2 linked regions of the Drosophila melanogaster genome follow. The gene in region 1 interacts genetically with each later gene. Each region holds a gene or a part of one and is shown on either strand. Other genes may lie near its edges.

Region 1 (7,876 bases):
TGGGATGACTCTCCCAGGCGAAGCACAGATACTTATTTGTGTATTCACTGCATATCTCAGCAAGTCCGCCCGATATAACCTTCACACGCCCTTGGGCTTACACAAGCAACGTTCTTCATTCGATGCACAAGTTTTATTTTTCAAATAGCTGGCATTTAAATACAGTAACAGGGCGATACTTTATTCAACAACAATAAATATGTAGCTTTGCGTAATTATGGCTATTTTGTGCATTTGAAAAAAAAGCATCCTCAATTGCGCCCCTTGCGGATTATGCAACAGTGATTCCCGACCAGCTGCTGGGCGCCGGGTTTGTACGATAGTTTTGGCTAGTTTAGTCCTTGCTCTGCATATACTTGATCAGGTCGATGACGCGGTTGGAGTAACCGAACTCGTTGTCGTACCACGAGATTAGCTTGACGAACTTATCGTTCAGCGAAATGCCAGCCTTGGCGTCGAACACAGACGAATGGGTGTCGCTGAAGAAGTCGGTGGAGACCACCTCCTCATCGGTGTAGCCCAGGATTCCCTTCAGGGGTCCCTTGGAGGCCTCCTCGACCTTAGCCTTGATTTCGTCATAGGTGGCTCCCTTGCCCAAGCGGACGGTAAGATCCACAACGGAGACATTGGGCGTGGGCACGCGGAAAGCCATGCCGGTCAGCTTGCCGTTCAGGGCGGGGATGACCTTGCCCACAGCCTTGGCGGCTCCGGTGGCGGCCGGGATGATGTTCTGGGCGGCGCCACGTCCATCGCGCCACAGTTTGCCAGAGGGACCGTCGACGGTCTTCTGGGTGGCAGTGGTGGCGTGCACGGTGGTCATCAGACCCTCGACGATCTCGAAGTTGTCATTGATGACCTTGGCCAGGGGAGCCAGGCAGTTGGTGGTGCACGAGGCGTTGGAGACCACCTTCATGTCGGGGCTGTAGGCGTCCAGGTTAACGCCGCACACGAACATGGGCGCATCGGCGGATGGGGCCGAGATGATGACCTTCTTGGCGCCGCCCTTCAAGTGGGTGGACGCCTTGTCAATGGTGGTGAACACTCCGGTGGACTCCACCACATACTCGGCTCCAGCACTGGCCCAGTTGATGTTGGCCGGGTCGCGCTCGCTGAACACGGTGATCTTCTGGCCGTTCACCACCAGGAATCCGCCCTCAGCCGCAACGGTGCCCTTGAAACGACCGTGAGTCGAGTCGAATTTAAACAGGTAAACCATGTAGTTGACATCGATGAAGGGATCGTTGACGGCCACCACGGAGGCGCCCTTATCGATGGCGGCGCGGAGCACCAAGCGGCCGATGCGGCCAAATCCGTTAATTCCGATCTTCGACATGGCTGAGTTCCTGCTGTCTTTTCACTTTTACTCTCGTTCAGTTTCAGTTCGCTATTACGACTGCCGCTTTTTCCTTTTCCCGGAGCTTTTTTCGCAAATTAGGAGAATGGCGCTGCGATGGCGGGGGAGGGTTGATGAGTATTTCGCTAGCTTTCTGCGTAGGTCACACTTAAATAAAGCTAATGTGAAATAAATCGATTAGAATTCCATTTAAAACTTTAATTTTTACAAAGGGTTTGATTATATAAGCGCCTTAAAAAGAGCCTCTAACAACTAATGATATATATGGGTTGTAGGACCCTTTACGTAATTAAGTTTATACAAAAATTAGCATTGTCAAGTATAAAATTCCTTCATCTTGCACTAAAGTTTTTCTTAACATTGTTGCCAAGTTAGTTCTTTAAGTTCTAGAGCTCTTCTTTCAATTTAAAAATATTTATTTTACGTTTTTGCCCTTAGTTTGAATTCAAAAAGCAACAATCGATAGATCGATACTTTTCGATACATGGTCACTCTAGTTTGAATTGAATTGACAACAAATAGCTCTGCGAAAACGAATCTGAGTTTTGGCGAAAATGGCAGCCGCAGGAGAGGCAATCGATGGAGTCTACTCCGTCCGGCTGGTCATCGCGGATTTCTATATGGAGAAGCCGCAGTTCGGAATGGATCCGTGCTATTCGGAGCTGCGCGGCAAAGAAATCAAGCGGGTGAGCCGGTCTATTTCACCACAGTAAAAACTGGTATAACGATCCATTCCACTTCCAGGTGCCAGTGATTCGAGTGTTTGGCGGCAACTCCAGAGGCCAGAAGACCTGCATGCATGTACACGGAGTTTTCCCCTATCTATACATTCCGTATGACAAGAAGGATTTTGAGTCCCTGGAGCGGGGCATCCTGCAGATGGCCATGCACCTGGACAAGGCCATCAACATATCCTTGGGTCAAGGCAGCTCCAACGCCCAGCATGTGTTCAAAATTCAGCTGGTCAAGGGCATGTGAGTTCTTTCTGGACGACTTCTTGGCGTAAATCTCTAACCGACCTCTCTTTACAGACCCTTCTATGGCTACCATCGAGTGGAACACCAGTTCCTCAAGATCTACATGTTCAATCCCCGGTTCGTACGCCGCGCCGCCAACCTTCTCCAAAGCGGCGCCATTCTGAGCAAGAACTTCAGTCCGCACGAGTCGCATGTGCCCTACATTCTGCAGTTTATGATCGACTACAATCTGTACGGTATGAGCTATGTGCATGTCCCGCTGGAGGTTCTCAAGTTCCGGCGCAACCATGACGATGACGGCAAGCTGGATACATCATCTATTTAAGTTCCTAACTAACCCGTAACTAACCCTTTAGTAATCCCCTATGCAAATGTCAAGCAAGCGCAGCTTCTGGACATCACAACCGCTAAGAAAGTGGCCTGCAGTGCTTTAGAGGTGGATGTCAGCTCGAACTTCATACTGAATCGGTTCCAGCTGGTGGCGAAGAGTAAGAGCAACCACACTAACCCCGGCATCGAGGCCATCTGGAATGATGAGAAATTGCGCCGACAGAAACTTGTCGAGAAGCACACCGATGCTGGCGATGAGGAGAAGGCTGAAGCGGTAATCCGGGAATACATCTTGTATTGATAAATCCTACAGCCTTGTCCATCCATCGTAGGTGCCAGTATTGGAGTTACCGCCAACACAGGAGCGGCATCAAATTGAAATCGCCGAAAGCGATATCTTCTACCGCACCGCTCTGGAGAGCAAGCTGATGACACTGGAGCAGTCCACACTGTCCGAGCAAACGTTGTCGGATCAGACAATCCTTCCCCAAGCAACCATGCAGACCACCATGCCCGGCACAAAGGCACAGAAACGCAGGTTTAACTTGCAAAAACTTCTAGCCAACGCCGTTTATCCGGAGGAATGCTCACAGGATCAGCAGCAACTGCTGGTTAATGCTTCCTTCATACAAAACCATGTTACCTGCGGCTACAGCAGCAGTGTCAGTTTGTCAACCTCCAAGGATGAGTCCGATGACTTGGACGAAACTGTAGTGGATGAGGAACTAATACTGAGCCTCACACAGCCTCATGGAGCGATACCCCATGATGCCACCTGTGAGTACACGGTTGCCAAAATTACAACTCGCACTTTGGTATAAACCAGTTGTTTTCTCCTTGCTTCAGTGAGGGAGGAGGATTTGGAACTTTTGGACGCGTTGCAGCTGTTGGAGGAGCAGAATGAAAGTGAATCGCATGTGGACTTAGACAGTTCGTTGGCTCCATTGTCGCAACATAAAAAGTGTGAGTTGTTGTGAAATGGAGTTGTTTTTTAATAAATGTTTTACACTGATCTCTTTTTGTAGTCGAACTTACACCCGAATTGTTGGACAAGGAGACCGCAGCTACTGCTGCTCTTTTCGACGAAGATGTTGACTCCGACGAGGATGCCGACCAAGAAACCCGACATGACTTCTCTACCGTCCTAGACGATGTCGATGAGTTGTTGCTTAAGTTAACACAAAGTCAGCCTGCGGAATCGAAGGAACTGAAAGCATCTAGTAAACTGCCCCAAATTGATGGTGCTGATGATCGCCTACAAAGGACCCCCATTAAATCGATCAGCTCTAAGTCAAAGTCAAGTCCTTCAAAGACTCCAACAACGCCAATAGGTCAGAAAAGTCTTCCCAAATCGCCACGTACTCCGAAAACCAGTGCAGCCAAGAAATATGCGCCGCTGGCTTTGACAATTGGAAGCAGTTCATCAAAGAGTGGGTAGAATTGATAACGATCACACGAATTTTTTTTGCAATCATAACCAATTGCAGAAAGCAACGATGAATTCGCAGGGAGACCATCTAATCCACGCCTCAGTTTGCAGCTAGACCAAGGAACCGGAACGGGAACACTTCGGTAATCAAATTCTTTGTTTTCATCATATGTACCAACATTTCTATGACCAACATTTTTGTTCGTAGGCCAGAAATCTCATTGCGCAAAAAACTAGCCATGTCGGAGATGCGACGGAAAAGTTTCGAGGACAGTTTTGTGCTCTTAAAGAACGAGTATGGTTAACTGATATCCTTTATGGCAAGGCGATTTATATTATTGTTTTCCCGATAGTTGTACTCCAGTTAGGAGTACCAGACGATCAACTAGCAATCTGGACAAAACACACATTATTTGTTCCCTTACGCCGAGGGACAGAAATCCTGGCTTGAGCGACATGTTCGAAACAGAGGACGGCAAGCAATTACCACCAAAGAAAGTAGTAAGAAAGACGCGATGGAGCACTCGGAATCAAGATATAGAAAGTCTACCCAAGGCCGGTTGTGAGATAGAGAGACCCCACAGGTCAGAAGGAAGTGCCTTGGATGAGCTGAAGCCGCGTCGCAGTGCTCGCCATAAGGTTAATTCGGCAAATCCAGATGAGTGTTCCAGCGAAATACAAACAACTGGGCCACGAGTGACGACTACAAGTTTGGATAGACCTCAAAAGAAAGCCAGACTATCCCAAAGTCCCAAAGAAAATACTAAAACAAGCATGAATGGAACTGTTGCATTGGAAAAAGCAACAAAAGATAGTTCATCTAACTCAGAGAGTCCGCATCAGCAGGAAAACTCTGTTTCTGAACAAATCGAATATCTCGAAAGTAAACCAAAAAAGTCTGATGAAACTGCACGAAGCTGTGACGAAAAGTTACAACGTGAGCTAATTCCACAGGAACCAGCTGGTATTTCGCCTGGAGATTCAGCAAACTCCACGGAGGAGATCACATTTAGTCCATGCCATGATGAGGCTATCGAATCCGACACGGAAAGCGATTATATAGTCACCAAACTTCGTAAAACACCCAACTTGAAACGCCTTCGATGGAGCATTCGGTCGGAGTTGCTGAACAAACAATTTACTCCCAGTTCAGGCATAAGACCCCCTGAGACTGAGACCACTCCTCAGCTAAGTCCCAAAAGCAATGAGAGCAACACACCGGAGCTGATGCGAAGTTTCTATGAGCATTCGCTGATTGTGAACAGTCCGTCGGTCTTCAGTGACTTCTTGGATAGCCCCGAGATACATATGGATTCTCCTAGGTCTGCTCCTCCATCTCCCGATAGCAACTCGTTCGTGATTGCCCCCTTGGAGCTGCCTCCATCCTACGATGAAGTGGTTAGCGGTAGCCGTAAAATGGACATACCCGAGTACGAGTTCCAAAAGCCATACTACAGCAATCCCTCCGATGTGAGCAAGGTGACGGAGGTGGGCTTCCTGGTGCTCCACATTCCGGGGAACAAGCTAAATGACTGTGATCCCTTCCAGAGCATACTGGGCAATGATCGTGGCCTGGCCTCCTGGCGTCGTCGGCAACTGATAGCCATTGGTGGCCTGGCAATGTTGCAGCGACATCGGGGAGAACAAAAAGTACGGGAGTATTTCAGCACGCAACAAAGAATAGCAATCGAGCCAGCACAACTAGCACCCACCTGGCAGGAAGCCAAGATCTGGTTGAAAGCCAAGGAACTCCTTCGTCAACGAGAGGAACCAAAAAAGTCCTCTGATGACATAGACAGCCCCATCAAGATCAAGCGGCAGAAGATCACTATGATGCTGCAGGCTGAGGAAGGCGATGGCGGAAGTGGCGATGAAGATGCTGGTGAGGAACTCGATTGCAGTCTAAGTCTAACGCCCTTGTCCCAAGCTAAGGATAAATGCAAGGCAACCCCTACCAGTAGCAAAGCCAGAGAAACAGGAAAGAGTCGCCTTAAGCGCGGAACTAGGCTCAGCTTCATAGGAAGCCAGGACGAGGAACCACCAAGCTCGCAGTCCAGCGAACAGAGCGTCTCCAGTAGTGCGGCCCAGGCGGAGCTAGATCGTAGTTCCTTTCTGCGCCAGTTAGAGGGCAGTAGCCAGGATAGGCAGCACGACCTCAGCTTTGGACTTAGCCACGCTACCTTGGACAACACGTTCGGGTTCAAGGTTAATTTGGAGAATCTGCAGCAGGCCAAAGCCGACATTGATTGCAACCACCTGACAATCATAACGTTAGAGGTGTTTGTGTCCACGCGAGGTGATCTCCAACCAGATCCGATGCACGACGAGATTCGGTGTTTGTTTTATGCTATCGAACACAGTTTGCCGGATGAAAAGCTGCCTAGCAAAGCCTGCGGCTATATAATGGTGAACACTGTCCAGGATTTGCTAAGTGAAGGACCTTTTCATGGTATAGATCGCGATATTGAGGTGCAAGTAGTGACCAGTGAAGCGGAGGCATTTGAGGCGTTGCTGGCTTTGTGTGAACGGTGGGATGCGGACATATACGCAGGGTACGAAATCGAGATGTCCTCTTGGGGCTATGTGATTGATCGGGCCAAGCATCTGTGCTTCAACATCGCTCCTCTGCTGTCCCGAGTGCCCACACAGAAGGTCCGGGACTTTGTGGACGAGGATCGGGAGCAGTTCACCGATTTGGATGTGGAAATGAAGCTCTGCGGCCGCATTCTGCTGGACGTATGGCGCCTGATGCGCTCCGAGATTGCACTGACGTCGTACACCTTCGAAAACGTAATGTACCACATTTTGCATAAGAGATGTCCCTGGCACACTGCCAAATCCCTCACCGAATGGTTCGGCTCACCCTGCACCCGCTGGATAGTAATGGAATATTACTTGGAGCGTGTGCGTGGCACCTTAACTCTCCTGGATCAGCTGGACTTACTGGGACGGACTAGCGAAATGGCCAAGCTCATTGGCATTCAGTTCTACGAGGTGCTGTCGCGCGGCTCACAGTTTCGCGTGGAAAGCATGATGCTGAGGTGAGTGTAACCCTTGAGCGCAGGCAAAATATGTTGCATCCTCCCTGAACTCTCTGTCTTCATAGAATCGCCAAGCCAAAGAACCTGGTGCCACTTTCACCCAGCGTCCAGGCTCGCGCTCATATGAGAGCTCCCGAGTACTTGGCGCTAATAATGGAACCGCAGTCACGATTCTATGCCGATCCCCTAATCGTGCTTGATTTTCAGAGCTTGTACCCCAGCATGATCATCGCCTACAACTACTGCTTCTCCACGTGCTTGGGTAGAGTAGAGCACCTGGGTGGAAGTTCGCCCTTTGAATTTGGCGCGTCGCAGCTCCGAGTTTCGCGGCAGATGCTGCAGAAGTTGCTGGAGCACGATCTGGTTACTGTTTCGCCATGCGGCGTTGTGTTCGTGAAGCGTGAAGTGCGCGAGGGCATCCTGCCGCGCATGCTCACCGAGATCTTGGACACGCGCCAAATGGTCAAACAGTCGATGAAGCTCCATAAGGACAGCTCTGCACTTCAGCGGATCCTTCACTCACGGCAGCTGGGCCTTAAGCTGATGGCCAATGTTACCTATGGCTACACCGCCGCTAACTTCAGTGGCCGAATGCCTTCAGTGGAAGTGGGCGATTCTGTAGTTTCCAAAGGACGGGAGACCCTGGAGCGTGCTATCAAACTAGTGGAGAACAACGAGGAGTGGAAGGTGCGTGTCGTCTATGGCGACACGGACTCCATGTTCGTTCTTGTGCCGGGTCGAAATC
Region 2 (3,662 bases), on another chromosome or scaffold:
ATTATGTATTTGCTTGCCATCGGGCAGCCTGACTGTAAGCTTTTAATGCTTAAAAATCAGATAGGAATCAAACGCAATCACTGCAGAAACAGAAAAGCAAAAACCAAAAACCAAAAACCAAAAATTAAAAATGAAAAACGAAAAACCAACAAGACAACAAATGAACAATTTAAATTAACGAATATTCGAATTATATGAACAAACAAGTGTTTTTTCAAACCTCGCCTTAATTTTTTAAAGTGTTTTGAAATACGATAACGATAGCGGAGATAACGAGTTTCGATCTCGAATCGAAATCGAAAACAACAAATACAAAACCAAAAACAAAAACACGCACTGATAAAGCATAGGCCAGGCAAAATTCACACCGACACGCCCACACACACACACACACACACACAATCAGACACGCGAATCTATATAAATAAAGAAATACAAATTACAAACAAGATACTCAAACAACTTCTAGCAGCTATAAACAAATGCAATAAATTCTTTTTAACAACAAACGCAAACTGTTTTTTTCATATGGGCTGATGGCTATTTTTTTGTAAACCCATCATAAAATATATATTATTTTCAATAATCATAAATAAATTTATTAAAAACATTAACTGTTTCCATGCTTAACAATTAACCCTTACTTTAGCAACATCTCCATGCTTTGCTTTCATTTACTTCTTGGAAAAAAAGTTCATAATGCCAGCTTGTTTGGTTTTCGGCGCATCCTTTCCAGCTTTCGCGGCTGAAGGCGGTGACTTCTTTTTGTTGACGGGAGCAGCAGCCTTTGGGGAAACCTTTTTGTTGGCAGGCTGGGCTTTTGTTGGTTTACGCTGCGTAATGACGAAGCCATCTTCATCCAGATAGGTTTCATTGGCCGGTTCCGTATCCATTTTCTCATCCAATGCGATGGTCTCTTCATCGGCGGACTTCTTGGGCGGCTGCTCCTCGTCCTCAGAGTCGCTGATTCGTCGCCGCTTGGAGGACGAGGCCTTTTCCTGATCGGAGTCGTTGTCCGACTCGATCACCTTCCGCCGCAGCATGTCCAGCTTTTCCTCCTCGTCGGACGATTCGGCACTCTCCTCGTCGAACAGTTGCATGGAAGTGTTTGCCGTTGTTGGCTTTTTGGTGGGACTGGGGGATTTCTTTTTCGAGGCTTCCTTTTTGTTTGAATTGGAAGCATCTTTCTTCGATTTATCTTCGGATTCCGGTGGCGACTTCTTGGCGCCTGCCGGTTGCTTCTTAAAGAAGTTGTCCACGGTGCCGGACGTCGATTTGCTGGGCGTGGCTTTGACATCCTTTGGCTTGCTGGCCGCCGCTGTGAAGAAGCTATTAATGCTACCCTTTTTGGCTGCTGCAGGCTTGGCTTTAGAGGCCTGTTCCTTGGGCGAGGTCTTCTTATCCTCCGGAGAGGACTTGCTGGCCACTGGCTTTTCCGCCTTCGACTTTGCTGGCTCTGATTTAAGTGAAGATTTTGAAGGCTCCAACTTAACCGCAGACTTTGATGGCTCCGATTTAGTGGGTTCAGATTTGACTCCATTGTGGGGAGTCGTCCCATTTGCACTGGGCACTATCTTTCCCGCTCCAGGACGCTGCTCCACTTTTGCCAACTTCACCTCCAAATGCTGCATGGGCTTGAAAATCGCAGCCGGCGCTTTGGTGCCACCGGCTATTTTCACACTATACAGCTGAGACTCCGCATCCTGGACTTTGGCCAGCCAATCCTGCATCCTGCTCTCCAGCACCACAGAGTACAGATCTTCGCCGGAATCGGATCCTTGCGTTTTACGCTTGCCATGGACTAGAAATCTCTTCTCGAATTTTGTGGCAGGTTCCTGCTCTTTGATGTAGGCCTCCAGCACATCGTTCACCTCCTTGTAGGACAGTTTGTACTCCTCCAGAAGATCGGTGACCAGCACACAGCGATCGAAATCGATCATGCAATCGTCGAGAGCCTTTTTAAGCGACATTTCGACAATTTGTTTAGTTAAAATTGCGCGAAATCGTATTGCGGGCGTGCCAACTTATGTGACTAAAAAAAGTGCTAAAACTCACCAGCAAAATAATGAATACTGAATTCGAAAATTTGTGACTTTGCTATGCATATTGTCAATGTAGAAAAAGGCGTATTTATTAAAGTTAATTAATTAATTATTATATATATTTAGTTGCTTTTTTTTGCTTGAATTATGAGCTTATTAATAGACTTTACATTTAGCTTAAATATAGCTAAATTGAAACAACTGCTATCTATCGATAACATCTACTTGCCGCTATTGCAAAGATAAGAAGAAGAAACGAGAAGTAAACAAACCAGATATCCTAATAAATTTTGATTTCTTTTTAATGCCCAAACAATGCAAGTAAATCCAAAACACAACACAGAAGCTCACAGACAAGCCGAGTAAGTGATAAAAATACAAGTGAATGCAGCAAGTGTAAGACCCAATTACAGGCAGGATGCCAACAAGGCGCGAATCACCCAAATTGAGGAGTTCATCAACGAGGTGCTGAAAGAGGATCTCAGAGAGCTGGAAAAGTGCATCGGGCAGTACAACGAGGAGATCATGGAGTACGTCCAGCTGAAGAACACCCTCCAGACCTTCGACACCCACCTACCAGATGGCTACAAAACGCAAGTCAACATCGGCAGCAACGTATTCATGCAGGCTCGCGTTCGGAAAATGGATAGCATTCTGGTCGATGTGGGCAAGAATGTGTTCCTCGATATGAGCATTCCAGATGCGGAACGCTTCTGCGACACACGCGTAAAGATCTTGACCAAGCAATCCGATGTCCTGCGCGACGAAAGCGTCAAGAAAAGGGCTCAAATCAAAATGGCCCTCATAGCAATCAGCGAAAGAACCAAACTTATTCAACAGGATGAAAGCAAATAGCTTCGCTGCGTCCACAGAAGCTGAAAGCATCTGTATCCTTGTTCGTATCAGTAGTGATCACATTATTACCAAGATTACACAAGCACTTAGTTTTTATTTTATACCACAATTTACAAAGACAATTTACAAGTTACGCGCCTCCAAAGTGTTGATGGCATAGAGATTTTGGGTGAGAACGATTTTTAAATGGAAGGAGGAGTTGCATGCAAATCCTGGCGACTCCTACGACTGATCCTGTGACGATCGAGTACGCCGCAATATGGATTGGGCCACCGGTTGCCCAATTCCAGCCGGACTTCCTGAGATCAAGGAGTTGCAGTACTGATCGTTCATAGTCTGATTCTGGTTAAAAATCCGCTGCGAGGTGCTGGTCAAGTTCTGCAATCGCCTGGCCATCTGCGGAAGTCACCAATAGACACCAGTTAGACAATAAAGTTAGAAAGTATTATTTTAATTCCAGCTGCCCGTTTAAGAAGTCCAATGGTTATCCAATTCGTCAAAATTTGGAACAGGCTTGTTGAAAATTAAGGAAAAATTCAAGTTTTACATGGTTTGGTGGCATTTTGGCATATAAAGATTTGTGAAAAATTTGTATATTTCCAACTCACATCGTTCCCCGCCTCGGGATTGGTCAGACCGCCACTCTTCGGAGGTGGACAACTTATCGCCGAACTGGACGCGCAGTTGACCGCCTGCTTCACTCGTTTTATCTCCGTCTCCAAGAGCTTGTAGTCTCGGAATAGATTGCGATAGTCCTCGGCCAAC

What was found. Genes that interact genetically often act in the same process or in processes that back each other up.
Region 2: of PolZ1 (region 1) and PolD3, changing one enhances a phenotype caused by changing the other (phenotypic enhancement), as found in Drosophila melanogaster (one study listed by BioGRID).

Annotation. Positions count from the first base shown.
Region 1 is NT_033778.4:7,791,788-7,799,663, forward strand, and holds the start of PolZ1 (DNA polymerase zeta subunit 1), read left to right. Parts: upstream 1-1,837; 5' UTR 1,838-1,908; coding exon 1,909-2,040; intron 2,041-2,098; coding exon 2,099-2,328; intron 2,329-2,385; coding exon 2,386-2,630; intron 2,631-2,687; coding exon 2,688-2,935; intron 2,936-2,993; coding exon 2,994-3,438; intron 3,439-3,507; coding exon 3,508-3,624; intron 3,625-3,686; coding exon 3,687-4,091; intron 4,092-4,148; coding exon 4,149-4,233; intron 4,234-4,298; coding exon 4,299-4,385; intron 4,386-4,443; coding exon 4,444-7,131; intron 7,132-7,196; coding exon 7,197-7,876. Other genes in the region: Gapdh1 (glyceraldehyde 3 phosphate dehydrogenase 1), read right to left, coding at 335-1,333. UniProt on the Drosophila melanogaster protein: As the catalytic subunit of the DNA polymerase zeta complex, plays a crucial role in translesion DNA synthesis (TLS) and various DNA repair mechanisms. Lacks an intrinsic 3'-5' exonuclease activity and thus has no proofreading function.
Region 2 is NT_033779.5:15,254,294-15,257,955, forward strand, and holds PolD3 (DNA polymerase delta subunit 3), read right to left. Parts: upstream 2,012-3,662; 5' UTR 1,971-2,011; coding exon 675-1,970; 3' UTR 526-674; downstream 1-525. Other genes in the region: Uxt prefoldin-like subunit, read left to right, coding at 2,358-2,404, 2,456-2,897; yuri gagarin, read right to left, coding at 3,120-3,293, 3,506-3,662. UniProt on the Drosophila melanogaster protein: Accessory component of the DNA polymerase delta complex and possibly the DNA polymerase zeta complex. As a component of the delta complex, participates in high fidelity genome replication, including lagging strand synthesis, DNA recombination and repair.